Linked DNA regions of Lytechinus pictus. The protein of the gene in region 2 purifies or fractionates together with the protein of the main gene of each other region. This does not show direct contact. Links are inferred from orthologs where the notes say so. Each region holds a gene or a part of one and is shown on either strand. Other genes may lie near its edges. The genes, in order: coatomer subunit beta-like, coatomer subunit alpha-like, nudC domain-containing protein 1-like and coatomer subunit delta-like.

Evidence for each region.
Region 1: the proteins of coatomer subunit alpha-like (region 2) and coatomer subunit beta-like fractionate together in Homo sapiens (co-fractionation; 6 studies listed by BioGRID and IntAct, with this or other methods). This does not show direct contact. The link is inferred for Lytechinus pictus from reciprocal best matches to the Homo sapiens genes COPA and COPB1.
Region 3: the proteins of coatomer subunit alpha-like (region 2) and nudC domain-containing protein 1-like purify together in Homo sapiens (co-immunoprecipitation; 3 studies listed by BioGRID and IntAct, with this or other methods). This does not show direct contact. The link is inferred for Lytechinus pictus from reciprocal best matches to the Homo sapiens genes COPA and NUDCD1.
Region 4: the proteins of coatomer subunit alpha-like (region 2) and coatomer subunit delta-like fractionate together in Homo sapiens (co-fractionation; 4 studies listed by BioGRID and IntAct, with this or other methods). This does not show direct contact. The link is inferred for Lytechinus pictus from reciprocal best matches to the Homo sapiens genes COPA and ARCN1.

Annotation. Positions count from the first base shown.
Region 1 is NC_087263.1:10,345,166-10,353,693, reverse strand, and holds the start of coatomer subunit beta-like, read right to left. Parts: upstream 3,355-8,528; 5' UTR 3,247-3,354; intron 1-3,246. Other genes in the region: inner centromere protein A-like, read left to right, coding at 6,153-6,295, 7,897-8,004. UniProt on the Homo sapiens protein: The coatomer is a cytosolic protein complex that binds to dilysine motifs and reversibly associates with Golgi non-clathrin-coated vesicles, which further mediate biosynthetic protein transport from the ER, via the Golgi up to the trans Golgi network.
Region 2 is NC_087252.1:3,709,530-3,717,265, forward strand, and holds the start of coatomer subunit alpha-like, read right to left. Parts: upstream 3,191-7,736; 5' UTR 3,061-3,190; coding exon 3,021-3,060; intron 1,660-3,020; coding exon 1,546-1,659; intron 740-1,545; coding exon 585-739; intron 1-584. UniProt on the Homo sapiens protein: The coatomer is a cytosolic protein complex that binds to dilysine motifs and reversibly associates with Golgi non-clathrin-coated vesicles, which further mediate biosynthetic protein transport from the ER, via the Golgi up to the trans Golgi network.
Region 3 is NC_087246.1:46,603,121-46,611,169, forward strand, and holds the start of nudC domain-containing protein 1-like, read right to left. Parts: upstream 3,542-8,049; 5' UTR 3,463-3,541; coding exon 3,330-3,462; intron 1-3,329.
Region 4 is NC_087252.1:32,344,845-32,353,462, reverse strand, and holds the start of coatomer subunit delta-like, read right to left. Parts: upstream 3,260-8,618; 5' UTR 3,150-3,259; coding exon 3,147-3,149; intron 1-3,146. Other genes in the region: porphobilinogen deaminase-like, read left to right, coding at 3,675-3,722, 7,136-7,208, 8,438-8,618. UniProt on the Homo sapiens protein: Component of the coatomer, a cytosolic protein complex that binds to dilysine motifs and reversibly associates with Golgi non-clathrin-coated vesicles, which further mediate biosynthetic protein transport from the ER, via the Golgi up to the trans Golgi network.

The DNA.
Region 1 (8,528 bases), on a different chromosome or scaffold from region 2:
TCCGGCATGGGTATTCAAATTCTTCCCAATACCACTCTTATTTCTTTTATCTTGCCTGGCGTTACATACATGTTAAAAATGTTTGTTGAATGTATTTTACTTGAATTTTTGTTTCACTGGTTGCGCAACGCACGCGTCTGTAACGTTGGCGAAGAACAATAGGAAACAAGATGGCGGCGTAAACATTGGGCAAGTCTCTTCCGTCTTTTCACAATATTTTTCTCATTTTTTTTGATGAATTCTTGTTTAAAAATAACGAGAGCGTAGAAATGTCGGAAATGAAGTTTAATCCCATGTACATCACTCCCTAGTACATGATTTTAGGGCTAGATCTGAAGGAAAGTAGAAATCTCGGGGGTGAAAGTTTCAGGTTTTTTGGGGTCCTTCGTGTAGGTGAATGAGAAGGAAGACCTGGCTTCATTGAGAGTAAGCCTACGTTAGTAAATGATTTTTACTCTCTAACTTAGAAGCCTCCTGGGGCCTGTTGCATGACGAGATGAGCGATACGTAGGAACGTCCTAGGACCATTCTTCCGAGATAGGAAGATTGGCGACAAATCAGCGCTTTCCGTTTCACGAAGGCAATTTTGTCTTCCAAGTCCGCGACATCGTTTGATATCGATAGTATCGGAAAAATATTTAGTCTTCATCGTCACCTGAACCTTTTATTTCTGAATGACGACTTTACATAAAATCCGATATTTCAATAAAAGGAGATAAAATAATGTTTTATTTATTACTGATAGTAGAATTGATGTATGGAGCTTACTTTATGAGGTTAAAAGAGAAAAAACTTTAAAGATTCACAAACATAACTAAATAAAATCGAAATTTTCATTATTTCCCTTATTTAGAACACGGTGTCTTTTTAGAGACACCTTTTATTGATATTTCAACGAAAGAGACCCTTGTCCGACATAAAAATTGATTTAACTAAGTAATTTCGACATTTATTAGTTCAATATTCTGTATTTTTATAGAATACTTGTATATAATGATAATTTTATAAATTATGCGTTAATATGTTATTTGTTGAGGTAAATATAGGGTTTAAATGGAGTAAACAAAATCAACAGTGTCTGATTGTATGAGACTAAAAAGGAAAATATGAGAGGCTGCGTGTGAAAAATCTAATTTATTTATTTTATTTGTCAGATATAACGCAAGAAATACAAATGTGAGTGTTTAGAGTATAAACATACCTCAGTTGCATGATGAGTAACAGAAGAAAATGAAAATATGAAAATTGCTGCAAACATGTCCAAGTGGATAAAGTATATAGTACTTTGCAATAATAATTAAAACATTGAAAAAGGTGTGAATCAATTCGCAATGGAAAAAATACTTTTACAGAAATAATGCTAAATATGACAACGATCATAAACGCTGGTCATATTTAAAGATGATCACTTAATTTATGGAAGTTTATATAAGAATATAAGGTTTAAGAAATAACATAAAAATATATATGTTCAAAATTTCAAAGTTAAGGAGTATAGAGATTATATGCTATGACATAAGGGCCGAAAGGGGCCTACCCTAAGATTTAAAATGCGCCTCTTCGTATGGACTTTCCATAATCTTTTCTTTAATGAACTTATCTTCATTTGTAATGGTTGTGATGGATTCGTAAGCTATAGGCTTGATCTGTATCTTAAATTCAATATTAGCTGCAGGTTTTTTGTTTTGTTTCACTGTTTCAAATCCAACAATTAATTTTCATTGATTAAAATAAATCTCAGCAAAAAAACAATAATTATAATGAAAATAAAATAAAAATAAATAAATGATTTAGCATGTTTAACATCTTAGTTTAGTTTGTCTTGTTTTTTTTTGCTGAATGTTATTGAACACGTTTTTTACCTTACATAATTTCTTTTAAAGAAATTTGTTGTTTATCTATAATGAGAAAGCATGAGGGGTCGGCTAAAGAGATATAGTGCCGCCCATTTCAAGTATTTCAAGTTTATTTTTTAATAGAAAAGGGGTGGGGATAAGACGGAGGGAGAATAGAAGAAAACATATTTAAAAAAATATTTGGCCCTAGTTACCCCCGGGAATAATACATGTACCCCGGAGAAGTTAAAATGACATCCGTTTTTGGTCGTCCTGCCGTGCAAAAAGATGACCTGAAATTGATGACAACTAGACCCCATATAAAAAATAACTTGGCGCCATCCCAGATAAAATGCATCAGAGTGCAACCAAAAAAATGTTTAGAGGTGATATGTCAGTGTGGCTTGCCGTAAATGCATTTTCTCTCAATGCCGACGGTGGCGGGCGGTGTGCAAATGAGATCATGCCTACGTAGGACATGTCTGGAGGTGTCTTTCCAAGGACCATTCTTCGTATCGCCCAAATCGGCTTTGTGAAACAGTTGAGCGATATCTCGTTCTTACGTAGAATGGTTCTACCAAAGACCCTTTCATGCAACAGGCCCCTGGCTACTCCTGCCAGTCCTGGCTAGTCAGAAGCCCATTTGTTTTGTGTGTGTATGACAACAAAAATCCTTATCAAATTAGACGGTGAATTTTTAAAGTAGACTAGATGCCAGACGGGACTCATGAGGGTGAAAAGGGGTAATTGTTCATGAGGAATCTGCTTATCACATTTTATTTGCTGCCAATGACAATGTAATCCTTTTGCAGCAAATGTAAACAAAGGAAATTGGTCTCCCAAACTGGAGACTGTCTCTGAAATTGGATACAGGATAGATCTAACTTTTTTAGAATTTAGGCCTAGGGCTAGGGCTAGAAAAATAGGGGCCCTAGGCCTACCCAAATTCAATACAAAACTTTCAAAAGTCAAAAAGACAAGTCTAATCTATCTCATAAAACATTGCCATTAAGCTGCAAATAGTCCACATACACTCCCAGTCACAGGAGAAAATTTCAAAAGGCCATTGGAATAAATATATAAAAAATCTTTAAAAAATAGGCGACCACCATTAAAATAAAGATTGCAGCATTGCACAAAAGGGTCAGTGATTTGGCTCGTGTGCATTTCAAGTGTATGCATCATGGAATTATGGTTTTCCGCCATTCAATCGCGTGCATGCTAAATCGCACGCATTAGGCAATACTACCCCCTTGCCTACGAGTCTACCTAGGCCCGGGTTAAGTGAATCAAGTGGTAAATGATCACAATTTTTATGGTATAACATGCTAAAGATATAGACTAGAAATGTTTAAAAGTGATACATAAATAAATACAAATTATGTATGATGAGCATCAATCCTCTCATTACCCGAAAATGTAAATCAAAATCACTCTTTTGTAGATCTTCACAACCTTTCCTCGCACAGTTTTATCTCCAATCGGTAAATTCCAACGTGGCGTTTCAGCGCCATCTACGGTGATCGCGATATAGTGTGTGCATATGACGTACTTACTTCGTGGCTTATGATTGGCTCTCTTTCCGCAACTAGATTTGAAACGTATTCATCACACGCGCGGCAAGTCGAGTCATGCAAGTGTACGGTGAAACATCGAGTTATGCCCATTGTTTTTCGATGTTGTAATATCATACGGTGAGTATATTATTACAAATTTATAAAATTCGATGTCTTAAAAATATGAATACCCATGATTATAATTTTCCTTGTAAGATGTACTTCAATGACGAAGAAATTTCATTCGGTGTTGTGCAGTGTTCAGTCACTGACTGACTGAGCTGACTGAATCGTCGGTGTTGTGTGTCCATTCATTAACAATGGAATGTGTGTGTGGCGACTGGCGTGTTTACATCAATGCCAAAGGGTGATTTCAATTTATTTTCAGTGTTGAAATCTGGTTTTGACCTCAGAAAATATGAGTAGACTCATATATATTATGATTAACTTTGTTGAGCAGATAATTGATAATTTAACTGTACTATCATGACTATAGTATAGACTTGTATCACATGTCATTAGAATGATTAGTCATATTCATTATTGACCGTAATTTAATCACTTGACTTAATCATGTCTTTTTTTATAATAAATTATTAATATAGCTCTCCAGACCAGAAGGGAGGGAGACATAAGTTACTTGTTAGTTTGAGGACTCCATGATGATGTCTTAAGTTAAAATACAATACGTTTGACATGATTAAATATACAGATTTAATGGTTGGACCTACCCCTTAATTTATCGACCACCTAATTTCCTAAGCATCGTATCTGCGAAAATATTTATCAGTTTTACCTACATTTTGTCTAATTTGTGCAGAAAATTGAGCAGATCAGATTCCCATGCTTCGATCGACGACTCCGATTGAACGATTCTATTCGCGTATATATCGGCGAACAACGAATGTGACGATTTTAGTTTACATTTGCTCATTTGCACCCTTCTTTTGAAACCGACCGCCCCCGATACACTTTACGGCCGATTCTTGTCACAGTGGCGAAATATTTTGACTCATCCAAATCAGTTCTCTGAGTCTGATATCAAAATGCTAAATAGTATAGTGATCGACTGATCGTCTCACTACATCAGTAGAGGCGCACGGCCAATATGGGAGACTCTCTCCAATAGGGGAGACAATCTCCCACATTGGAGACTTGCTTTGCAAAAGGACAAATGAAACAACACCAACAAAAGCATGATTTTTTCCACCCAAAATTTTGTCTCACTGAGGTCAAAAGTAGCCAGGCGGCTTCTAGAGAGTAAAAATCATTTAAAGGAGAATGAAACCCTTGAAACTAGCTGAATCCATATCAAAGAGAAAAATCAAAGAAACATATTGTTGAAAGTTTGAGGAAGATTGAATGAATAATAAGAAAGTTATGAGCATTTGAATATTGAGATCACTAGTGCCATGTAGATCCTCTCATCGGCAATGCGACCAAGATCTGTGATATCACACACGTACAACTCCCTCATTACTTTAGTACTTATTTCACTTTTATTCTCACTTTTATAGAGTCTATCACAAGGTTAGGTGTTTTCTTTATGAGATGACAAGTACAGAGGTTTCACAACATTATATCATTGATGAATCGTTTGTCATATGTACTTCCACTGCGAGCTCCGGCACATGATTCGACGATTGACGACGGACATTTGTTCTAAAGCCGTTTCCTATCGGATTTCTTGCCCCGTATGAACAACCGTTTTTCGGCGGGGTTCGGGTCTAGTCAAAACAATTTTGATGAATTCTTACTAAATTTGTATCTTTTCCCCCTTTTTCTCTCGTAAATCGATTCTTGTTCATATGGACACTGCGCCTACTCCCCCGCGCGTATCGTCCTTTAAGTTGGGTGCAAAACAAAGAATTTTTGTCTCATTGAGGTCAAAAGCTCGTTGTGGATGTTGTTGTTGTTCATTTTGGGCCTGTTTCACGCCCTACATTAGTAGTCTCCTCGGTAGACAGCTGGCAGCCGTCTGTTTCGAGGAGTTTTTAAACATTTTTTTTTTTAAATTTCTCCTCGTACACAGACGACTCGCTATCGTGCAGCCACCATTAGGGGGTTAACAATGCAAAATTCCCCCGACGGGGCTCATCAATTTTTGTCTTTATTTCATAAAAATATATAAAAAGAACTGTACCAAAATAAAGATTATCATGCCTTTATAGCCTGAAATGCACCAAAACGGGGAAAAATAAACTTAAAAGGGGAAAAAACAGTGACTTACTTCAGCTGTCGCGCAACTTCAATCCCTGTTTTATCCGAACTTAATACATTAACATATGGCCATTGAGTCCCTGTACAGATCAAGCTAGAACTTCGGTCTCTGTATTTGGTGAGTGGAGCCAACAGAGTTCAGCGGAACAACCAACATAAAAGAGACCGAAGCTTTTGGTCTATCTCCTCGGTAGACACTTGGTGTTGAGAACTCAAAGTCAAAGGTAGAAAAACTGCTAAGTAATTCAAATTGTTTTGTTGGCTAGTTAGGTGGCTAGATGTTAGCGCTGGTGGATGAGACAAATGGTGGATGGTATCGAACAAAATGCATTTGTACTTGTAGATCCGTATTAAAGGCAAACTGCTTACAGTGAAAATGTCAGCTTTTGCCATAGACTATCAATTAATCAAATGGGCACATTTGGAGTCAATAATTAAATTGGTTTGATTTGATTTGACTTGCTTGGAATTACCCCAAAATGGTAATGATTTGTTTTTCCCCCACAGGTTAGTCCATCAGAATAATAATTAAACTACAACAATGGCTGGTGATCAACCCCTCCTGGGGTTCAATATATACCATGATGCAGAGGCACACATCCGGCAATTCCTCCACGAGTTTGAATCCAAGCACATGAAGTATCTAGAAGAGGTGTTGATAACTGCCAAGGAGAACTTTGGAAGGTAGGCGATTCTCCTTGATCGTGGTTTCAGTGTAATCTCATCTCACTCTAAATGATGATATAGGTGATGTATGATAAAAGAAAAAAAAAACACAGAAAAGAATTGATGAAAGCTTGCCGAATATCTGCCAGAGAATGATTGATATCTACACGCGAATGAGAGTTGTGAACTTGTGATGTTATAAAGTTTTGAATTCACAACCTGACAAATGCATGTATGTGAGCAGCCGGTCCAGGGGGCCATTTCGTAAAGCTGTTCGTAAGTTAAGAGCGACTTTAAGAACGACTGGTGAACCTTTCTTACGTGCTAAACCATCGCCAATGGTGTATACCATTTACCAAAAGAAAGGATCACCAGTCACTCTTATCTTACGAACAGCTTTTTTTATGAAACACCCACCTAGGGGCCGTTTCATAAAGCTGTTCATAAGTTAAGAGTAATTTAGTTGAGCGACTTCAAGAATGACTGGTGAACCTTTCTTACGTGTCAAACCATCGCCAATGAACCAGTCGTTCTTAAAGTCGCTCTTAACTTACGAACAGCTTTACGAAATACCCACCTGGTGGATGTTTCATAAAGATGTTCGTAAAGTTACGAACGACTTTATGCACGACTGAAACATGTTCTTTAAGGTAAATGCTAGTTTTGGTAACGATATCAAAATGAGTTCGTACAGAATCCAATGAAATGACCACCAAAGTATCTGTTTGTATAAATAAAACGCATGTGCCAAAGGATTCTGGAAGAAATTGTGTAATTGCTGAGAAATCAGCAAATAAGCACAGGATTCGGGTAGAGCGTCGGGCCCGACGCTCAAAGCAATAATTATACACTGTCCCACGTGCACTTATCTGTGTTGGGGAAGTTCAGTCTGAACATTTTTCAGCGTAGATTTCAAGATTTCACAAAGTTCAGTTTATGTAACTGTACCAGATCTAGATCCTCGATGATATACTGACAATTAAGCCTGGTTTTACAGACTTTCTCATGAAATCAGTGTTTACTGCAACTACTGGAATTTCTCTTTAATAGGTCATAATCAATTACATAGAGATATCACATAGCACAAGAAAGGATCACCAGTCGATCTTAAAGTCATTCGTATCTTACGAACAGCTTTATGAAACACCCACCTGATGTCATAACTTTTCAATGGTTCACCTCACCATGACTGAATATAATTGTCCTTTAGGAGAGGGTGTGTCTGATGATTCTGAATGCACATGTTTCAAATAAACGTACTCGATTTTCTGGGGCATTTTGCAGAAAGAGTTGTGTTTAACTTTAAACGCAAGTCAAAATATCAAGCGCAAGTCCCGAATATGGGTGCTTAATTGGCTGAAAATCAATTAGCGCAAGATATTTTGAGTTGCATTTGATGATCGCAACTCTTTCTGCAACGGGCCCCTGGTGGAGGTTTTTCCTGTTACTTTTTGAAGTGCACTGAATGACTGAATAACGATTTTCATTAACAATATTTTTTTGGGGGGCTTTGTATTTACAACAAACCACAGGTGACAAATTGATATTTGCAGGTTTTTTAAATTTGAGTCAAAATCATAGTTTAATCAATGCTTTTAACTTCTTGCTTCCAACTATAGGGATGATGCCATACTCCTACCGAAGACCCCTGCTGTCAAGAATAGAACGCGTAAAGGTCGACGTGTTGCTCGGAGGAGTTCAGTTGAGGAAACTATACCATCTAAAAGGTAAGAAAGTCACAAAAGTCGCAAGTTTTTAATAAACTCAGATGAGCTGAGGGTATTTTAATTTGTCATGGACCAGTCATAGCCTTGGGGTGTTTCACAAGTATCAAAGTCTGGCTAAAATTGCTTGCATTTAAATACCCAGCGCCATGTGGTTGTCAAAAACATCACTGAATTGGTCAGATCATATCCTGGGGACTTACATGTACTATCACAGATTTATCAGTATATGAATAGCGAATAGCTATTACAGTGTGATTTCACATAAGGTGAAAGAAAGCTGCTCTGGATGAATAGATTGTCTCTTTGTTTCACCGATGCATGATTAAGAATACTTACTATTTGTGTTGTACAACGCCTCCGAAGTTAGCAAAAATATGAACAATCAAATTTTTACAACGTCAGTCTATGAAAATAAAGAAAGTAAAAAGCAAATTCTCATAAGTGTGCATTTCGACAGTAGGCCCTATTCATATAGTGCAGCTGCAGTTATTTAAAAGCCAAATGAATAGTATTGTGATGTGACC
Region 2 (7,736 bases):
TGTGGTAAAATTATATTTAATAGAGAGCATGAGGGGTAGATATGACCTTATGAGTAAATACCATGTTTCAGAACAAGTTGTAATGGAGGGAAGGGGATCAATTTGATCTGACCTGATTTGATCATTGGATGCAAAATAATGCACAGATGTTTGAAGACACAATATTAATCTTCCCTGTGCATGGGATTCATCATTGTTCATTTAAATATTTTTTTTCTACATAATTCAATTCTATCTCAAGGTGCTTGCTATAGGCCTTGATAGGGATAAGTAAGTTGATTGACCCACAAGACCCCTCCCACAAGACCCCTCATACATGTCATAAGGAAAATTGGTCATGCATGTAATATGAAATACAAGATCATAGCTGAAAGGCAGCTCGAGCTAAAACCGGGGTAATAATAATAATAACACGCCTTGGAATAGAATATTTCTAGATAGATGGCTCTATATAAATAACTATTATTATTATTATTATTATCATATTTATCATTATCATTATCATTATCATTATTATTATTATTATTATCATTATTATTATTATTATTATTATTATTATATAATATTGGAACTAATCTCCTTACATGATGGAAGAAGGTTGTCCTGATGTAATCCAGATGTCCAAGGAGAGTGAAGAGACATCTTTTGAGTTTATAGTTCCAGACCTTGATCTTGTAGTCATCGCCTCCAGAAACAAACAGGGGCTGCTGTTGGTGGAAACTGATCCCTCTAACAGGACCTGAAAGAAAAGTAAAAATTTTTTTAATTCTGAAAGAACATTTTCTGGAATGTCTGTTGATTTAGGGCTGTATATTGCAATTTTGCCTCTGAAAAATTAAGCATAAGCAGCACTCCGAGTACTAAGTTTGTGATCGGCGATCTGAAACGACATTTGAAAACGTTGATTCTGTACCCGCAATGGAAGCATAAACACACCCCTAGACTTCTTTTTAAAAAACTGGGGAGCTCACAATGGCTCACATTTTTCTCTGTGATTTTGTTTATTCTAGACATCTGATTACACAATCCAAGAAAATATTCATAATTTGTCCATATACATGTAGGTCCTGTATATTTGGAAACAGGTATTGAGTCAAGGCAACATTTTGCTGGACTTGGCCTTGGTCCAAGTCACATGTACAACATCTATGGGAAGTTATAACTGTAAAAAAAAACCAGCCTGAACTACATGTACATGTACATCCCTGTCTGGAAACTACTTTCCCAAGAAAATGAGGATTTCTGAGACCCTGAGAGGCTTCTCTTTTATTAACCCATTGCCTACTGGAACCTGGGGCCTATAAGTATAACACAAACTTAGCAATGATCGTAGAACATTTTTCTACGATTGATTCCATTGACTACAATGTACAATCAATCGTGAAAATCAATCGTACGATTAATCGCTAACCTTTGTGTTACGGGACCCAGATGATACATGTACAAAGACTACGGAAATCTCAGAATTTAGTAGTCAACGGGATGACGTACATGTTATTCTTTTCTTGGTTGGACTTGACCTTCACCCCTGCAAATGACACTTACCATCGTGTTCATCAAACTTCTCCAAGAGAGTGCACATACGGTAGTCCCACAGCTGGATGTTTCCATTGTGCAAGCTGGCAAGGATCCATGGTCGGTTGGGGTGAAAGCACAAGCCTGGAGGAAGAAAGAAAGAGATTGAGAAAGTACAAAGAAGAGCAACAAAACTCATACCATCCTTGGCAATGCTAGACTATGGAGACAGACTTCGAGCCCTAAATCTACCATCCCTGCAATACAGAATGAGAAGAGGTGACATGATCCAGACTTATAAAATAGTGCATGGAATCGACTGGCTTGACAAAGGATATGTTCTTCTCGTCAATTAATGTTGAGGCAACCCGAGGTCACCCATATAAACTCTTCAAGAAAAGAAATAGACTGGATGTAAGAGCAAATGCCTTCGGAGCCAGAATAGTGCGTGACTGGAACTCGCTACCAAATGAGGTTGTCTCTACTCCATCTGTAAATTCCAGGCTTGATAAGTTCTGGAATAAAGAATGGTACAGTCACCCTTGGGAATGATTTGATTTGATTTGACAGAAATGATTGCAAACGCACCATGTACACTGGACACTCACAGTCACACATATTACTTGTGGAAGAAGATTAAACTTGGACGAAAGCTAGACCTGGAAACTTGGCTGCAGCTTTCTGCATTTTTCCAGTACATCCAGTAATACTAATAAGGTAATAAAGGAAAAAAGAACCGAGGATTAATGGGAGAAGGCAGAGAGATGGGGATGGGACCCTCACAAGGACGACACTGTATGTGAAAATGACAGAGTTCAAACACAATGACAAACTGAAGAAAATCTAATCTGGGACTAACCTATGTACATCACCATCTAAAACATGTGACCCAGGGCCAGGCTTCACATCAATTTATCAAATCTCTGATTGTGTGAATCAATCTAATAAAATTTGACTTTTATACGAACAAAGTAAGAAAACGGATAAAAGGTGAAATGCTTAACAATAAAATTATTATTATTATTTTAAGGGTTATAAGTCTTACTACGAATACAGTAACATTGAAAAACCAAATCATGACATTGTATTTTTTCTAAAAATTGAAATAAAAATTTGAGTTTGCGTTTGACTGAACTTCTGTCACTGAATGAAAGGGAAAAAAAGAAGATTGAGAAATTCTCAAAAATCATATAGTATACGGTATTTCAACTATTATTAAGGAAATACAATTTTCGTATTATCTTTATCTTCCCAACTTTGCAAAATAATGAAGGTGAAACCACGGCACACAATTTAATGTCTGGATTTCAGCTCTCCCGGTACGAAACACGACGGCAGCAAGCGGGGGAAGCGCGGCCGGGGTAATGGGCCATGGCACGGCACATCGGCAGTCCCAAACCCGACATTGCAAAGAATCAGTTGCGGACATTGGCGGTGCTGTCACAACACCGAATTCCACCCAAAATTGCAAAGTCAAATATGTGATTATTAATTTTCTTGCATACCTTTCACCCTTGCAGATTTCGTCTCAAATTTTGTAAGCATGATACTGCTGTCAAATCATCAAAAAAGTAATGTAATTTTCTTCCTTTTCTCCTGACAATTCCACGAAGATGCAGCCACGTCACTTTCAGCTTATGTTTGATAGTCTTTCGTACAGCCGTTTTCTCTTGATATTCTTCTGTTCAATTAGTGAGGAACATAGAGATGTATACTAGTAACGCTAGAGGGCGTACTTCGTCAAATCGCTGTGATTACGTGGAGACCGTCCGCCATTGCTCGATAGGTATTCGCAGCCTGCCATATCCATGCGCGTACAGTACCTATGGGGCATGTACACGGATGAGCACAGAACATGACAAATTGATGACATATGAGCACGAAAGCATATGGAAAAGCAAAATTGTAAATATTGCACTGGATTAAAGTTCAAATACAACAAAAATCTAGCAAAACTGAGGTCAAAAGGCCTATATAGGCCTATCTATAGCGCATAATATAGGCCGATACAGCTATAATACAGGCAAACGATTTAAAGTCCCAATTGTTTTTGCTTAGGTAAAATTTTGATACATTAATATGACTTCTATTTTCTAATGATTTGGAAGAGATGAATATCAAAAATAACATTTAGGCCTAGGTCCTGATAAATAAATTTAATGTGTTTTAATATGATTTGATGTACATTAACCTAAGAAAATTCATAGGCCATATCACAGTGATGCATCTGAGACGCTGTATCGAAAAAAAAAACACGATTGTATTTTTATAGTTCATAGTTTCCTAATTACTATTATGCTGATTGCTGATAATTTATTTCTTCACTTTAGATAATTGTTATAATTTATTTTCCATATATATCTACACAATAGGGCCTATAATAACTCGATCCCTTTTCCCCATGTCTTACACGCTGATGTAAACCAACATCACAAAAACTCGCGAATCATAAAATGACTTTTTATTGATATTTGGAAATGATTTACGCATTGATTCAGTTAAAAATTGATGATTTAGATTTCCTTTGCTGGCAACCATCCCATCATATTTATAAATATGTATATAAAAGTATACTTTCTTACTTGCGATCAATGTATAGAAAAGTTTGTTGACAGCAAAATGCGCGCATGCAGTCGTACAATTTTGCAATGTACAGGAGGCCTAATGGGGGGTTGGATGTTTATGTACAGTGTTATTGCCTTGCAAACATTTTAAAACTTCGGAGAGTAAACAAATCACAATGCGCAAAACAATTTTACTTTGATTTTCTGGAAAGTATAGACTTGATTCTCCCCGGCTGAAAATATGCTGATCGGCAAACTGGCTGAAATATTTTGTTTATCGCCGTTGTTTCTGATCCTATAATGATTGGACCAATATCATGTGAACAAATCAAGGATAGAATAATAAGGAGAGGAAGAAGGGGGAGAAGGAGAGAAGGAAAGGGGCGGGATTATGATATATAATTTTTATTATACTATAAAGAATATTATTACTACTGCAAGAGTGTATAAAACTAATATCATGAAAGACATCAATGCAAACTTATCATAATTATGAAAACGGTTGCAAAATTGTGAGTACTAAAACCAAACATAATTATGAAACAATAATATTGCAAAAGTGACAATACTTGGAATAAGATATTAAAAATCCAAATTTAATCTCAAATTTGATACCTGCCTTGAAATTGTGCTAATTAACTGTGTCTGTGTCGCTTGAATAAATGAACTTTATGGCAAATATTTGTAAGCACTGGCACCGGCCTAACATATAAACAGATAAACACGCGTTTTGAATATCCAGTTTTGTTTTTCATTTTAAAAGTATAACTGAATTTGATTTTCTAGTTTTCTTCCTTTAATGTCATTTGCTGGCCTATGGACCTGAGTTTGGTTATTCGATCAGTTTTTTTTAAATAAGATTTCCATGGATGAACAAAATTATTATATTATGTTAATTACGGCGTCGCGGAATGATTTTGAAAGTGATGGGGTGCATAAAATCACAATCATTTATTATGTGTAATGTTCATTTTCATTTCAGGGAGGGGTCCGGTCGCGCCCCCTGTATTTTATTTTGATCAGTATGTTAAAGCGAATTTGCTTAGGTGTGTTTGTTATTTTAATTGCACACACGGCCCCTAAAAAGCGAATTAAAACAAATCTAACTTAAAGTGAAGGGAATTAAAACTGTCATTTGTGAAAAGTTTGAACAAATTAGGCTATATTCTCGACATTTTAAATCAATATTTTATTTTCGGGCCATATAGGCCTGCAGATTTTGGGGAATTTATTATGTTCCTATAAGAACAAAATCAGCACGTTCACCAAATAACACAAATTTCAACATTGATGGTGTAACGGGAGGCTCACCAAGAACAATAATGAGATGCCCTTTAATAGCGCATGTAGATCAAAACACTAACTTATACAGAATTATTGTACAACTTAATATATAAAAATGATAGGCCTATATTTCATACAAATTAAAGCAAGTTACATATCATGTAGGCCTATATAGAAATTACAAAATTATATCCAACATAAACATAGAATCAAAGGACGTAAATGTGGGAAGGATGGAAGGAGGACGATGCAGTTAAAGGTAGGGAAATCCAGAGAAGGGCTAATTCACTGCAGTCTTTTGAATTAATTGTCAATCTTTCTATTAATGTCCGCTGTATGTTTTTATTTTTATATGATTGTTTATTTGATAGTATATCAACATTGTTATCTATTACAGGCCTATAAACGGACAGGTAAATGCAAATTATTTAGAATTTCATCCCGAGAAATCAGGTTTTTAAAATGCCAAATTAATAGCATAATCCCCATGTAATCACTCTAATAGTGTATTGAGATGCAATTTGTCATTCATATTTTCGATTTTTATGAGGTTGTGTTCTTTTCTTCAAGAAAAAGGCCGGAGACGGCACCCCTTTTCACAGCGTTACAACGCACGAGCTATGGGTACATCCGGGTACTTTTGCGAATCTATACCTATCGAGCAATGGCCGCCACGCTCCACACAATCACAGACGTTAAGTACGCGCGCCTATGGCGACTCCGCACTCTAGCGTAGTTAGTATACATCTCTATGGTGAGGAATTGGTCGAAAATCTAAAATTTCCCGTTATTGGCGACTACAAAAGTGCGCAGCACCCTCTCTCGTTGGATTTTTTAAATTTTATTTAGACTGTATTAGACTAATTAAATTATCTCAAAATTCATACTCTAGTGAAAACTGAGATTTATTTTTCCCCCTGTTTTTTTTTAATTCCTTCTTTCTTCCATCATTTGTTAAGAATAACCTTGTATATTATTTTCGTCTATTTATTTTTCATTTTTGTTTACTCCAATTTTACTTTTGCCAATTGTATTTTACCCATGCTTTGATATATTTTGTTTTTCGTTTTTATTTTTGTATGCTTGTTTTATGTTGATATTATATGTTATTATCATTTGTCCACGGCCTTGCTGAAAAGCAGCTTCTAGCCGAAAGCAGGCTTTTTAACCGTGATTAAATAAATAAAATACAAAAAAAAATACAAATACAAGAATTATTCATGTATTTATCTATCTATTTCTTCAGTATCTTAATAAAGTCGTTTGTCTATTTATTTCTCCTATATCCTTAACTTTTTCTTATTTTTCACTTTTTTCCGTTTTATGTTCTTTAACTTCCATTTCTTTCTTTTTTATCATTTTTATGGTGGTTTTTTTTTTTCTTAATGTTTTATTTTCTTTCTTCTTCCATTTTTTCATGTTTTCTTTCCGCTTTAGCTTTCCCATTGAGAAGAAAGAAAGAGTTAGAACTCGGATCCACTTTTTGTCAGCGGCGGAACGTATATATAGGCCCTACATCTTCTTTGGGGGACTCTCTTATTTCGCCAATCCAGATCGGCTGTGAATATAGTGGGATATATTGACCAGCCGAATATGTGACCTTGTTGATTTAAATATAAATCTAAAATACTTGAATTTAAACCTTTTGAGATTTAAAAGTTAATTAAGATTCAAATTGAATTCAAAATTTGGCTGGTCACTAATATTCACAGACGATCTGGATTTATTTTAAATCCTTGGAATTTATAGAGTGCATGGGCCCAAAATAACACTTTTTATAACATGTATACTCATGTCAAAATGTGAATTTGGGTGCAAACTGATATTTTCATCATCAGATTACGTTTCTGCCTGAAGATGTTGTGTGTTTCATGGAATTAGATCAGCAAAACCTTTTTTGAAGTGATTTCTGATTGAATTTATTTCAGGCTTTATTTATTCCGCGACGAGCGGTTCCAAAAAATGAAAATTGAAGTTGTAAAACTCACTTTGTGATCATTTTTGGCGCTGATTTCTGTTTAAAGGGCATCCTTTTCGCAGTTCTCATGAGTTTTGTTTGTTACCACTTTTTGTCACTAATCTTTAGTAACTAACATATCGCACTGTCACTGATCGAATAATGCGAGCGTAAATTAGCGCAAAATGAATTTTTTTTGATATTCCGACCTGAAAACTAGAAATACTCAGCAAGCGCGAGTATGTGCATGTCTTTTTAGCCTACTTAAAAAGGATGTTTGTCGGAGACATATCACATTTCATTCATGAAAATATGGCCTTTTTTCGTACGGGATTATTACTTTTTTGGCAGGGTGCAAATTCCTACGACCTTATTTTTTTATAGTTATTTTTTCTTCCACTGTATCTTTTTTGTGG
Region 3 (8,049 bases), on a different chromosome or scaffold from region 2:
AGACCTTCATCTACATTTTGGTATATAATTGTCCATATTTCGACATTTTCAACCTACCATTTTTACCTCTTTAATTGATGCTTATTTTAGTAATATTTTAACCGCGATTTTGTAGTCGGAATTTCACTTTTGGTTCCTGACTTTGCTACATAACCAAATTGTTTCGATCGGGGTTTTTTAGAAAGAAGAAAAGTCACTGTTCAAAATATGTCAGAACCAACTTGACGCAAACTCACCTTGTATTTTTATTTTAGAGAAAATGATACCCTAAAAATCAAGAAATTTACGTTTTACCCGGAAGTAACCTTCTCGTTCACTCCACGATGGCGCGAAATAATGCCAAAATTACGTTCGTCGCGGGTTGGTAGAATTTCGCCTTTGGTCCCATACGTTGAAACTTCTGTAATGATGGCAGATGGCTCGCATTATATTTCTGACTGTGGACGGTGGACTTGTTTTTTTTTTTTATTAAGACTTAATATAAACGAAGCTTAATAAGTAGATCCCTTCTAAAGTTTTATTCAAATGATTATCAGGTTTCCGAATTCCATCAAGTTTTTATAGATTGAGATATTTCTTGATTTATGTTGAAAATTGTTAACCTTTTTTCTTAATTAGTCGAAGATGAGCCCCATGATGATTTTTGCCCCAGGCTGCGGTTAAGAATTAAATGATGATTAGCTCAGACAGTCTACTCTAGAGACTATAAACAGTTTAAAGTCAAAGTAAAAAGTCTGGTACTACCGTACTCAGTAGTATTTATAAACCATTTTGTTCAAATAAAAAAATTGTGTCTGTCACAGACAGTACTTAGTTAGTCTCTTAATTGACTTACATGTAACATAATTCATACTTTGAATAATTTAGACTATTTCTCTCTTTTTTGTCTCTTCTACACACAGATCTGCATACTTTCTGACTCTGGTCTCTGCTTGCTACTTCATTCTGGGAGATTCCATCATGTACTATAATGGTCAGACCATGATTTGGACAAAGCCCTTTTTTCGTTTGCAAATTTTGGACTGATAATGATACAACAGAAAATTGATCTTTATCGATATTGGAAACAAAAAAATTAGAGCACAGTTTTGGGGAGGACTAAGAATACTGACTTGGACAGGAATACAGCTTGACAAAAATAAAAATTCACAATTCAAAACCAAAGAACATTTTTGATGCATTGCAAGAAACTTTCTACTCAATCACACATTCCAAAATTAAGGGTAAGTCCTTTGATTAAACACAAACATGTAGTTGATTTGCAATTGAACATAAGTTTCTTGCAATGCCCCATAATTATATTTTGTTCTCAAGCAACTCTGTTATATGTTATCTAATGTGCTGAAGGTTAAGTGCCATGTATGTTCACAATTTTTTTTTTTCGAAAGGTATAATATATTTGTCCTTTTATATGGTATTTGAATGTGGTTACGCCTTGTTTTTGTTTTCCACAGTAATTATATGAACAATAGTGAAATATTTGTTGTGAAGCACTGTATGAATGTTGTGTGATCATGGAGCTATGGTGTGATGGTATTATAATTAATTCATAATTTTTGTTATAAGACTGTAAACCTGGTGGATGTGAGGGGGTGGCCTGGATGAAAGGAAAGTGAGCATGTGTCCAATTACTGATTTGCATATGTTTAGACAATTTTGTTCGTGGATAAATATTAATGTGCATTCCCTATTCCAAGCAAAGAGTAAAGGAGAAGTCCACCCCACCAAAAAAATAATTTGAATTTAAAGAAAAATAAAGTATTGCAGAGAATTTTATAAAAACTATGATTCAAAATTCAAAAAATTACTATTTTGACATTGAGAAATTTGCCTAATTTTATAAAACAATTATATGCTCATCTTGGTCAATGTGCAAATTACAGAACCGATTATGTCACACGCACTCTAATTTCTTGTGTATTTTTTTGTTTGATACATGTACATGACATGTATATTTTATTTTAATTTTCATTAACAAATTTTGAGAGGGATTTTAATTCCTCCATTAACATTCGTAGTTTCCATAAATGTAACCTATTGTGATTCGAGAAAGATTTTTTACATCAAATTTGCTAAAATTTATATAATAAAAATGCAACAAAAATTTAAAAAGTAATTTGATGTGAGTGACATAATCAACTCTATTTGCATACCATTGTTTTGTGTATATAACTGTTTTGTGTAAAAACAGGGAAATTTCTTTATTTATTCAAATACTTTTTTGTTGATGTGCACTTGACCTTTAACTCACTTCCCTTCCCACCCCTGCCCAAATAAGTGTAATCAAGAACTTGAAAATCAAAAGCAGTGATTAAGAAGAAGTAAGAATTAATCATAGAGCTATTAATAATAGCTCCATGATTTAATAAATACAGGCCTAAATAGAACTTCATATGAAAGTAAAAAGAGAATAAAGCTGGGTAGGAACGATGAAGGAATACGATTTAAAGAAAAAGCATAAACATATCCCCATCAACCCCCCCCCCCCCCTCAAAAAAAAAAAAAAAAAAAACTCAATTTGGTGGGTTCGAACCAGGGTCCTTGCACACGTCAAAACATAGCGCTCACGCAATTCGCCATCGATCTCTTCCGTATTACTTCCGGGTTTTTTAAGATATATATAATGTTGTAAGTCTGTGCGCCGCTGTTGACCAATCAGAACGCGTCGGCAATTCTACTACAATTCCAATCATTTCGCGATGGACATTGCCGTGGTTTTTTGTGGTTCCTGACTTTGCTACATCATGAAATTTCATAATTTTTTTTCAGTCGTAAATAAGAATGTCTACGCTTTATATTGATTATAATATCAATTTGACGCAAGTATGATTTCGATGCAAAAATGCGCTCTGTTTATTCACATATATTTCTTAAAAAAACTCATTTTTTCTAAGCTAAATATCGGTCTTGAAAATACATTAAATGTGCATTTTATTTAGCTGATCAGAAATTTCAAAGTTTTATCTATAAAATAAGACCAATTATGTGAGGAATAAACGATTCTAAGAGCAAAAAACACCGATCGGAAAGTTCGTCTTCACAGCTCATTACGTATGCATAACCACGGACGGCTATGCATACCGCTGAATAAAATAGAGCACTTTCGGACGGGCTGCGGACTGACTGGACAATTGGATTTGGAGCGAAATAAAGTGTGTGAATGATACGCGCTCGCTATTCACTGCAATGCAATTTATGTACGCCCAGCTGATCGGTCCGCACTTTCGCCTAATTACGACTTAAATCATAGCGACGCAAAAATGAATGCATGGGACAAGGGCTTGCTAAGCCTCGCACTTGCCAACTTGTATAAAACAAACTGAACTCACCAGACTTGACGGAAATAGAATAAATTGGTAGTGGGTCGAGAGATAATTTGTAGCCATCAAACTGGCTATCAAGAAGGTCTCTATTCACGCGAAGAACTTCTGAACAAGCAGCCGCCATTTCGATCCGTGACATCTACCGTACCAGGCAAGCATACATACCGGCCGTGTGCGTAAACCACGCACGGTACGCGCGCCACTCGTACTTCACGATTATGGAACGCTCATCAATGTTCGGAATTCTGGAAAAACACGTCAATCATCATGACGTGGCAGTGGAGATGTCATGGGGGCCAAGCCTCCCCCCCCAAAAAAAAAAAACAAAAAAAAAAACAAGCAAATTAAAAGGGGAGGGAGGGGAAGAAACAGTGGGGAAATGAAAGAGTAAAAGAAGGAAAAGTAGGGAGAGTGAGATAAAAGACAGCTCGGGGACATGCAGTTAATTGGCGGCCCTCGATCGATGAGTGTTCGGAGGAGGGGGGGGGGGGGGGTTGGCGCAGTAAGGTGAGAGGAACAAGAGAAGTAGAAGTAGGGAGAGGTGATGAGAAAGAATGTGAAGAGGAGCAGAGAAATGGAGAGGAAAGGGGGCAGTGTCAATCCAGGGAGGGCAGTGGACGAACGATATCGACATATGCAGCTAGAGCACAGCCCCCTATAAATTAATTGTGACTTTGTGACATAATTAACACTCTTTTAATCTGTGCAATTCTCGTTTATCTTCTTTTTTTCATTAAATTTTCCTTTTCGCCCCTGAATGACATAATTGACTGGAATCACTGGATTATATTCAACAGACATTTTTTTATGACTATATATACAGTGCGTCCCACAAAAAACGAAACCGAGATTTATCGATGATTTATCATAACTTAATCACAAATACAATAGACAAATGACCTACCATTGTAAAGCTTAGAATCTCCTCTTTCATCTGAAATTACTTAGATTATTTCTCATTCACGCAAAAATGGCAGAGGTAAAAATGGCACAGGTAAAAATGGCAGAGGTAAAAATGGCAGAGGTAAAAATGGCAGAGGTGGATATGGATCGCACTTAATAAGGAGCTGATATTTTTCATTACTATTACTTTGAGTTTTAACATATAGGACCGGGACATCCTTAGGACACGCATATGAAAATGATGACTATCTCACAATCACAAATACAATAGACAAATGACCTACCATTGTAAAGCTTAGAATCTCCTCTTTCATCTGAAATTACTTAGATTATTTCTCATTCACGCAAAAATGGCAGAGGTAAAAATGGCACAGGTAAAAATGGCAGAGGTAAAAATGGCAGAGGTAAAAATGGCAGAGGTAAAAATGGCAGAGGTGAAAATGGCAGAGGTGAAAATGGCAAAGGTAAGAATGGCAGAGGTAAAAATGACAGAGATAAAAAATGTGAGAGGAATATATGGCAGCGGTAATAATGGCAGAGGTAATAATGGCAGAGGCAAAAATAGCTGAGGTAAAAATGAAAGAGGTATAAATGGCCAGTCTTAAACCCCCATGCCAAAAAATAAAAAAGCCCCTCTATGTACAGTAGATTAAATAAGAAAAGGTCTGAGAAGAAAATTGGAATTATAATGTTGGACTAATGGAAAGGGTAACATTTTTAAACCATACTGTAGATCTTCTGCACCAAATTGATAACACTTGAGTTGGTATTTCTTTTTTCCCCCGGAACTTACATGCACGGCCTTCTCATGTCAAATCGCTCTTCTAATATTCAATTTTGAAGCACACTTTGGATCCCAAGTATTGTACTTTATTCATTAAAGGGGGAATTCACACTGACATATAGTTTATTGTAGAAATAGCAGAAAATAATTAAAATGATATTGATGAGGGTTTTAGGGAATCCATCAAAGATTTTAAAAGCTATTAGAACTTTACATTTTAAAGTTCACGTCATTTGCGAGCAGTTTTTCCCACATATGGTGTAATAAAAAAATATGAATGAAATGTCATTTTCTAAAAAAAAGGAAATTGGTTTTCACTGTACCTTAAGTATATCAACATACAAATCATTTCACATCCGCTCCTGAAAGATATTTTAGCAATCATGAACCACTGATTAAAAATTGAAAAGTATACATTTTTGGTGCATAAAATACGGTGAAGCTGCTAGTATATGTCGTCACAAATCAAAAACTCAAACTTCTAATAACTTTCTTAATCTTTGATTGGTTTTCCGCAAACCTTCACCAATATATTTTTCTGCTAATCTAACAGTAAACCATTTGTCAGGGTGAATTTCCCCTTCAAAACAGGTTGATAGAATGGTACCTAAGAAACACCTATAAATTTAAATCCCTGATTCGCTATACACATTTAAAAATTCATGCGGTAACCGTTACCATAGAAACTAGTTTAGGAACCTTACATCCACTTGGACTAGCTGCAATGCGGTATTGCTCTGAAAACCTGAACGCTAGTTGCTATTATTATATAATTTACATTAAACTATATATGTATCATATCAATATCCATTCGGATCCATTGTGATGTTGAAATATGAAGAAATTACTTTTATTACAGAACGTTTTATTTTTCTGTTATCCAAGTTTTGCAAGTGGCTCAAAGAAATCCTGAACTTGTCTATTTCAGTGTGTTATTATGGTAGCGCACATTGGTGTTTACATTACAATTCGTTTGGTATGTATGCAGTGGCGTACCTAGGATTTTCCACAGGGGGGGCAAAATCGGCCGCAAAAAATTTGACAAGCAAAAAAAAAAAAAAAAAAAAAAAAAAAAAAAAAGGTCTTCAATTAAAAAAAATGAAGGTCATCGTACCAGAAAAAAATTGACAAGCAAAAAAAAAAAAAAAAAAAAGGTCTTCAATTAAAAAATGAAGGTCATCGTACCAGAAAAAAATTGACAAGCAAAAAAAAAAAAAAAAAGGGGGGGCAGGTATATGTCTTTTGTATGGGTTGTGGCTCGTCAGGGGGGGCAGAGTGCCCCCCCTGCCCCCCCGTAGGTACGCTAGTGTATGTATGTGATGAAGTGCTGTTCTACTTTATGAACTGTCCAACATAAATCCTTTCATCACTCACTAATTGAAATCATTTTGGCATGAAAATGTTTGAGTTTATATCATATCAACGATAAAGTATAGACCTATAAAATAAAATTTTACTGTTATGAATAAACATAAATATATAATATCATAATCCTTATTTATATAATGCGAGCGCGAAGCGCGAGCTAAATTTCTTTAGAAATATTATGTATTTTTCCTAAAATTTTGAAAATTCTGGGCAATGTTTGCTATCCTGAAAAAGATGTGTATGTAAATGAATAATTACTACAAACGTGAAGCGTGAGCAGAAATGAACTGATGGAAAAGATACTTGTTAAAGACTGCTTGCAGTTAGCCATGAAGACGTTACATATTTTAAAAATCAAATAATGCGAGCGCGAAGCGCGAGGTGAAATTTTTTGACATTTTTACCTAAGGAATGAAAATTCTAAGCACTTTTTGTAATTTAAACAGATAGGTATATAACTAAACAATCGATGCGAAGCGCGAGCGCAAAATTTCGAGATTTAGACCTACTGAACGAGACACTCTATTCAAGTTTTGTAAATCATGAAAAGGATGATTAATTGGGGATCTTCGTTACATTAATGCGAGTGCAGAGCGCGAGCAGAACATTTTTGTATACGTTTTGAACTGATCGAAAAGGTACCTGTTGAGGACTGCTTGCAACTTAGCCATGAAGACGTTACATATTATAACAATCAAATAATGCGAGCGTGCTGAAATATTTGGACATTTACATAAAGAATGTAAAATTTTAATCAAATTTTTTAATCGTGAACAGGATAAGTATAACTAAACAATTGATGCGAGCGCGAAGCGCGAGCGGAAAAAATCGAGATTTAGACTTAAAAACGGGACACTATATTCATGTTTTGTAAATCATGAAAAGAGTGAGTAATAGGGAATCTTCCTACATTAATAATACGAGCACAAAGCGCGAGCAGAGAATTTTTGATATTGTGATCTGAAACTGGATAATGATTTAAATAGAGAACAAGTTGATCATCTGAATAAACATGCGCGCGCGTGTTTCATATATTTAGACCTAGAATCTAGGCATCCTAATTACATCTTTTATCATAAAATTCAAAGCGAGCGCGAAGCGCGAGTTTAAACTATGTGATATTCCGATCTGAAAAAAAGAGTCAATTTCAGCTCAATATTTTAAGCACTTTGTAGGAAAATTGTGAGGTGGATATGGATCGCACTTAATAAGGAGCTGATTTTTATTTTATTTTTCATTACTATTACTTTGAGTTTTAACATATAGGACCGGGACATCCTTAGGACACGCATATGAAAATGATGACTATCTTCCTATTCCTCTTGCTAAGCGCGAGATGAAACAAAAGGGACAATTTAATTATTAAATTAATATCTTATTCATTAATGCCTATAATGAGGGCGCGAAATCTGATGATATTATGGCCTGAAAAAGCACTTTGTAATTATAAATAGGATACATCAGTTAATATATCAAATAGTAACTTAGATACCCTTGACTTGATACAAAATCATTGAAATTAGCTGCCCCATTTATTGCCCTATCCTTATGTGACATCTTTAACACTAGTTTAGATACGGGGATTTGTTCCTGCTGACTGGAAAATTGCACGTACGACACCGATTTTCAAAGGTAAGGGTTCAAAAGACGAAAAATCGAATTACCGACCAA
Region 4 (8,618 bases), about 29 Mb from region 2:
CCTGCCAGGGGGGGTTGTATTGCAAACCCCCTAATGGCGGCTGCACTTTTACCAGCCGTCTGCATCTGTATACGAGAAATAAAAAAAATAAAAAATGTTTAAAAACTCCTCGAAACAGACGGCTGCCAGCTGTCTAACTTGAGTGGTGTCTGCACTTGACAGGTGAATGAACTTTCCTAGATTTGTTGCAGGGAGAAATAATTGAAAACTGAGTCTCTGAGACAGTCCCTGTATCATGTAATTAACTGGGACGATCCTAATTTTCTGTCTTTCTGACCAGCACAGCGCCTCTGGCTCTGCTGTTCAAGTGATCTGGTGTTTAGCCTGGAACTTGGAAGCACAAACTAGATCATATCTGAATCCTATCCTACTAGTACTACCAACATGTCCAAAACCTATTTTGACGGACAATGACATGAGTCGATCATGACCGAGTTAAAACAACGACAACGTTAGAAAAAATATTGACAACTCAAGTGGCCTCAACACCGACATAACCGAGTGACATTTCGGGACTTATCAACTTCAACATGTTTGGTGGGCATCATTTGGTGTTAATCTGTTGTGCTCATGTAAAAACTTACCTCCTATAACTAAGGCTCCTAACACATTAACACGTAAACACCGTCAAGGCAAAACAATAGGTGCCCCAACAACACGGTATTTTATAGATGGCAAATATAGCGATCTTCAACGCTTATATATAAGCGTCGAAATTTGTAGCCATCTCCTTGTATTAGTCTATAATATACGACGTGTCAAATTGTAGCGAACTAGTTCGCTATTTCCAGATCTCCTCTATATATATATATACGAGGGGGAATTGTAGCGAACTAGTTCGCTATTTTCCAGATCTCCTCTATATATATATATACGAGGGGGAATTGTAGCGAACTAGTTCGCTATTTTCTAGATCTCCTCTATATACAAACGACGGGAAATTGTAGCGAACTAGTTCGCTATTTTTCGGATCTCCTCGATATATATACACGAGGGGGAATTGTAGCGAACTAGTTCGCTATTTTCCAGATCTCCTCTAGATACATACTACGGGATTTGTAGCGAACTAGTTCGCTATTTTTCGGATTTCCTCTATATATATATATACGACGGGAAATTGTAGCGAACTAGTTCGCTATTTTCCAGATCTCCTCTATATATATATACGACGGGAAATTGTAGCGAACTAGTTCGCTATTTTTCGGATCTCTTCTTTTGTAGCGAACTAGTTCGCTATTTTTCGGATCTCCTCTATATACGACAGAAAATTGTAGCGAACTAGTTCGCTATTTTTCGGATCTCCTCGATATATACACGAGGGGGAATTGTAGCAAACTAGTTCGCTATTTTCCAGATCTCCTCTATATACAAACGACGGGAAATTGTAGCGAACTAGTTCGCTATTTTCTAGATCTCCTCTATATACAAACGACGGGAAATTGTAGCGAACTAGTTCGCTATTTTTCGGATCTCCTCGATATATATACACGAGGGGGAATTGTAGCGAACTAGTTCGCTATTTTCCAGATCTCCTCTAGATACATACTACGGGATTTGTAGCGAACTAGTTCGCTATTTTTCGGATTTCCTCTATATATATATATACGACGGGAAATTGTAGCGAACTAGTTCGCTATTTTCCAGATCTCCTCTATATATATATACGACGGGAAATTGTAGCGAACTAGTTCGCTATTTTTCGGATCTCTTCTTTTGTAGCGAACTAGTTCGCTATTTTTCGGATCTCCTCTATATACGACAGAAAATTGTAGCGAACTAGTTCGCTATTTTTCGGATCTCCTCGATATATACACGAGGGGGAATTGTAGCGAACTAGTTCGCTATTTTTCGGATCTCCTCTATAAAATTTTATACACGAGGAGGAATTAGTGAACTAGTTCGCTATTTTTCTAATCTTTATATATACAAGAGACGGAATTGTAGCGAACTAGTTCGCTACAATTCCCCCTCGTGTATATAATTTTATAGAGGAGATCCGAAAAGTAGCGAACTAGTTAGCTACAAATCCCGTCGTATGGATATAGAGGAGATCTGGAAAATAGCGAACTGGTTCGCTACAATTCCCCCTCGTATATATATATAGAGGAGATCTGGAAAATAGCGAACTAGTCTGCTACAATTTGACAATATGGCATCAATATATACAGCCAAAACCTGCAGATTTTCACTTTGAAGCCTTCACAATAATGTAAGCTTTGGAAAAAAATGACAACTAGTTCGCTACAATTTCCCCCTCGTGTATATGAAGAGATCAGAAAAATTGCCAACTAGTTCGCTACAGTTTGCCATGTTTATATTTTAGAGAGGAGATGAGAAATGGCGAACTAGTTTGCAACAATTTCCTGTCGTATACATGTAGAGGAGATCCGAAAAATAGCGAACTAGTTTGCTACAATTCCCCCCCTGGTGTATATATAGAGGAGATCAAAAAAAATAGCGAACTAGTTCGCTACAATGCCCCCTCGTATATAGTTCGCTACAAATCCCGTCGTATGTATATAGAGGAGATCTGGAAAAATAAAAAAATAGCGAACTAGTTCGCTACAATTCCCCCTCGTGTACATATCGAGGAGATCCGAAAAATAGCGAACTAGTTCGCTACAAATCCCTGGTGTATATATAGAGGAGATCTGGAAAATAGCGAACTAGTTCGCTACAATTCCCCTTGTGTATATATCGAGGAGATCCGAAAAATAGCGAACTAGTTCGCTACAATTTCCCGTCGTTTGTATATAGAGGAGATCTGGAAAATAGCGAACTAGTTCGCTACAATTCCCCCTCGTATATATATATATAGAGGAGATCTGGAAATGGCGAACTAGTTCGCTACAATTTGACACGTCGTATATTATAGACTAATACAAGGAGATGGCTACAAATTTCGACGCTTATATATAAGCGTTGAAGATCGCTATATTTGCCATCTTATTATTTCCCCCAACAACACCACTGATCACTTATTCACTGCACTGCACTCACACTGTGTCTGTCACTTTTTTTGTCAGCAAGATTTTTAATTTAAAAAAGTTATCAAGGCTTGATTATTTAGCTTGTAAGAGACATTTCAATAAACGATAAACACCATTTATTTACTACTAATGAAATTATAGCTAACAATATCATACCATCTTCTTATTCAGTATGCTCTTCGAATAAAACGGCAATTTCACTGTCTTCTGTGGGATTTTCTCAGGATTTTCGCTACACAGTCGTAAGATTAAGACGGGCCACGTCCGTGTGATGTGGAGTTTGAGACGGATAACGCCCGTGGCGGAAGAATATTTTTTAATTGTGGACTTTTCTTTCTCATTCAAGAGAACAGTAATCACTTTCACTGATTGAATTATCCCTAAATCTTGTAAAATTTATTTGAATGAAGGTTTTCATGTGTTTCAATTGTACAAAATATAATTTCAACCAATACACAGCACTATATTTTTGCTCTAAAATTGTACACATATAATGGGCTCAACTTCCGGGTTGAAGGTCATTTGCATTTCACGTGTAGTTAAAGTCTTTCGCGAGCAGCTAGCAGTACAGAGCAGTGACGCAGACGGTCCGAAAACGTAGTTTTAATTTTACTAGAAGACTTCGGTTCACGGAGATTGGGAGTTTCTCATAGTGATAATAAGCATCGTCGTCTTTTCGAAAGTATGGCTAGTCAAGTGGAAGTTATTCGCATAGGCTCGAGAAAGAGCGAGGTAAATGCCTCTGGGGAACCGAAGGATTTTTGTTCGGTCCCATACGTGTTTGGTTGTGTATTGTGTTTATCGAATTTCTTCCTCTTGTCTTGACAATTGACAGCGCAGCTCAGCGATGCCGCGCCGATGAGGTGACACGCCCACTCCTGGCCGGTGTAGCGGCGGATTCGGTTCCACCGGCGGATACCGTATCCGCCGGCAGATATCGTTCTTAATGGCCGATATCGTTTTTAATCGGAACCATATCCGCCGGGTTTGACGCGGCTTGAAGTTTGCAGATTTGGTTCTATTGACGATACGTGTAATATTTATTTGGACAGACGTCCAACCTCGGCAGCGCGCGCATGCGCGGCTCTGGCAATGTCGTTACCAATGGGGGGAGGGGATTTTCGTCCGCCTTTAGACTTTTAGTGAATTTTTATTCAGGGCCGGATCCATAAAGCTTTTGACGAAGGGCTCGATGGGGGTGAGGGAATAGGAGAAACAATGACTCGATATATCATGTATACATAGACCTGGCACATGCGCCAAAACTTTGCTATTTATTATTATCAGATTTTGATGAAATTTTCATCATTTTGTTTTGTAGGCCCTACGTGAAAATTTATACTACTTTAAGTCCGCAGTATGCATCGAAATCTTTAACTGTGCTTTTTCACACCATGATTAGTGTAAGTTTGCCAGACTGGCGAAAATTTGTACCCCCATATAGGCCTATAGTTTTTATAAAACTACAGATTTTCAACGAGTTAAAACTTCATAATTTCAAAATAAATGAGGCAAATTAGTTTATGAATATATATTGCTGTTAACTCATATTATTGCTTGTAGAGTGCTGATTTTTTGTGAAAACATTTAAAAAAAAAGAATTTCAAAACATGATTAATATCTTATGTAGTTTATTGTAGGCCTATTTTTAATTTGTTTTTTTTTTATTCCTTTTTTTTCAATATTTTTGTTAAGGAATCTGAATTAAAGGGATGGTCCGGGCTGAAAATATTTATATCTTAATACATAGAGTAGAATTCACTGAGCAAAATGCAGAAAATTTCATCAAGATCGGATAACAAATAATAAAGTTATTGAAGTTTAAAGTTAAGCAATATTTTGTGAAAACAGTCATCATGAATATTCATTAGTTGGGCTGATGATGTCACATCCCCATTTTCCGTTTTCTTATGTTATCACACAAAACCATATTTTTTTCATTTATTTCATACTTGTGTGAATAATATGTCTCCCTTATAATGAAATAAGTTGCAGCAATAAATATCTAATGCACTAAATCAGTTGTCAATCCAAATTTTCTAGTTCTTGGAGGAAAAAATTTGAATAAACCTAATTTCATATAATAAATTACAAAAGAACAAGTGGAGATGTGACATCATCAGTCCACCTAATGGATATTCATGACGTAACAGGCGGGGGGGGGGGGGGAGTTGCCCCCTGTCGGATTTAACCAGGAATAAAAGAAAAACGGGAAAGGAAAAAAAAGGAGGGAGAAAGAAAGGGAAAGGGGAATGAGGGGAAAAGGAAAGGAAAAAGTGAAAAGAAAACGAAGAAAAAAACCCTTTTTAATGGAAAAGGAAGGAAATCGGGAAAATGAACATTTGAGAAAGAACAAATCATTCCAAAACAGGCATATGTAATGCAATAGCACGATGGGAAATAAATTAAAAGATGACAAAATGGCAAACAATAGCGCGAAACGAAGGTAAAATGCAATTAGTCAAAAGCTAATTTTTGGAAAACAAAGAAAAGGGACAAGAAAAAAAAAATAACACGACCGGGCTTCCGATGATTGAAATTAAAGAGCGGGAAGAAAGATGGACTGCATATAACATTGTGCTATAAGCTAGCCAAATTTTATGTAAATAAGCTACCGGGGCTTTGCCCCAGACCCCACACAGTAGGGGCTCTTCATTTATACTGAACCTCAAATTGCTCTATAACGCTTCCCGTTCACAATCACGTTCAATTACTGCACATGCGCCGGGGGGGGGGGGGGGGGGTCTTGGTTCCACACCCAAGAGAAATAAAATAAATTAAAGGAGACAAGGTATAATGAAATGAATGGAAACAATGAAATTTGTTAGTTGCTGAATCTAATGGAAAAATCAATTATATAATTAGAATTTAATTTCAAAAGGCTTTTTTTTCCAGCTCGATCGCTTTGCGACTTTTTACAGATTTTTCCCACATTACTATGTTTTGCCCCTCAAAATATTTGGTTCATTACGCAACTGGGTTGAATAAATGTGTTGTGTAAAAGCTATATCCTGTACATGCCCGCGATTTGATTAAAATAGCGGCAATCTGCGAGGTTTAAATGGCTTTGATATCAAGAAATTCCGGACCCCAACCGCACAGCACTGCGTATGGAAGGGTTGGGCTATGGTCCCAAAAAGTTCTACAAACAAGAACAAAAAGAAAGGAGGAAAGAAAAGCAAAGGAAAAGTGTAGAATATGATTTTATTTACTGAATATAATGCCAAAAAATAGCTCAAAGTTAGATTCTTCTTTGTGCAAACTTAATCTCTGATTAACGTCAGTCTGAGTCTGACTCTGTCCCTAATCATCAGAATAAAGGCAAAATGTTGAGGCTTTCCTCTTCAAGGCCTAATGTAACTAGAATCCGAAAGGTAGCTGGCTCTCAATTAGACTAAGGCTAACCCACCTCTTCTTCGAACTTCATTTCGCAACGTTATTCACGCGCGGTGCGCGTGCATGCATGACGTGTGAACGTGATGAATGAAGGATATCGCGATAGCGCAAGAACGATATCTTCCGAATCTTCTGAAGGGAGTGGCCTTTTTTGGTACTGAATCCGCCGGAGGAGAACCATATCCGCCGGCGGATTTGGTGCCTAGAACAGTATCTGCCAGGCGCAGGATCCGCCGGTACACCGGCACCCCTGGGCCTGGTAAGCCTGGCCCTGGCCTGGACCTGGATCTAGACACAGCGTAGTTTTGTGATGATATATTTTTTTTTATTATATATCAATTATCATTGACATTGCCGGACATCTTTATTTCACTGTGCTTTAATTCAAAAATGACAACTAACTTGTTAGAGGAAATACATTCTGGAAAAATTCGCACGTGCTATTCCAAAATATTGTGGAAATTATGAATATCATAAAATTATTTTATATTAACCAACCATTTTTCTTTGCATCGCAATTGCCGCATACCCTTCAAGAAAAACATTACGTGACTATATATTATATAGTCACGTATTGTTTTTCTTGAAATCACTTTTACTTAATTTTATTAAAAAATAATTTGAGTTCAATCACATGGTTCCAAAATTGCATCCTAAGTTCCCATTGCAAAATTATTCTAAATCAAAAAGCTGAGAAGAAACTGATGAGTGATAAGGGGTTCATTTCTTATCTATTACTTTTTTTTCAGTTGGCCATGATACAAACCAATCATGTTGTGGAACTGTTGCAGAAAGTTCATCCAGATGTGGAATTCAAGATTGGTAAATAAAAAAAATTGTGTTTTTTCCTCAGATTTTGAGGGGTTAATGCCAAGACAATCCAAGTTTTTCATGACCATATTATTATTGATATTGAGTTGAAAAATGAGACTGTATGCAACAAATTTGGCCATGGGGCTGTGATGTTGCTACAATTGTTCTACAATTGAAAATTGTTCATTCGCCACCCTTTTTGCATTAGAAAAAACAAAAACCCAACTTGTGAATTGCAACCCATTATTATTTCTTTCAATGACGAATAAATACTTATTTTTTGTTAAAATGAAGTCACTAAATAATTGTTATTTACATTTAACATTACTATCAATGGTGAATAATCCATATAATTGTTTGAAATGATTTTGATCAGTTTTTTTTTCTCTTCCTCTCATTATAGTGATGATTTCAATTAGATTTTTATGAATAAATAAGAACTAACTGATGATGATGAACCTGGCATTGTCACAGAATTTGGATTTAAGTTAACGCTATTTTCATGAGAAGCTCTGGATTTTTTTTCTTCAAATGTTGAAGAGCTACAATGTAGCTACTACAACCCAAAAAGAAATATTGCCAAAGCTGCCATTCTAAACATATAATATGAGGAGGGGGAGGAGGAGGATAATGATGATGGTGATTGAGCGAGATGACAAGGGTACACCAGAAAACCAATTTAGCATTGAGAAGGGGCTTTGAATATCTATGAATGCAGAAAAGCAGTTTGATGATTTAAATGCATTTACATCATTGGTGGATCCAGGATTTCTAGTGTAGGGTCTTCTTCTGAAAAGAAAAACAGATGTTTTTTTGTACAGGTCAAATCATATCCTACATGTAATTCAGTTTACTAAGACTTACAATGTAATATGAAAGTTATGATAGAAATTCTGCTTATTGTTTGCAAAACAGTTAAGGGAGTGATCAAAGTAACATTTTGTGGCTGTAGGCAGTGAAGGGCAAGGAGGGGGGATGCAGTTCCCCCTTCAACCAGAAATTTTGATAACTTAAAATTTTTACTGAAAATTTTTGCAAAATTCACAAAAAATTTGCATGAAATACTTCAAATGTGCCATAATGAGCTTTGTCAATTTACGCTTACAATGCTTTTGAGCTCCTTTCAAAAATTTTAGGTGTCTTGTTTCCCCCCTCCATAAAAAAGTTTTAAGTTCAGCCATGTGATGTACACTCTTCTAATAATTTATTTCATTCCTGGTCTTTTTTTGTTGTCTCAGTAACCATGGAAACCATCGGGGACCACATTCAAGACAAGCCACTCGCATCCATCGGAGAATCCAACCTCTTCACCAAAGAACTTGAGAAAGCTCTAGCGCTAGATGAAGTTGAGATGATCGTCCATTCTCTTAAGGATATGCCGTCAAAGTTGCCCTCTGATATGGCCATTGGAGCCATTTG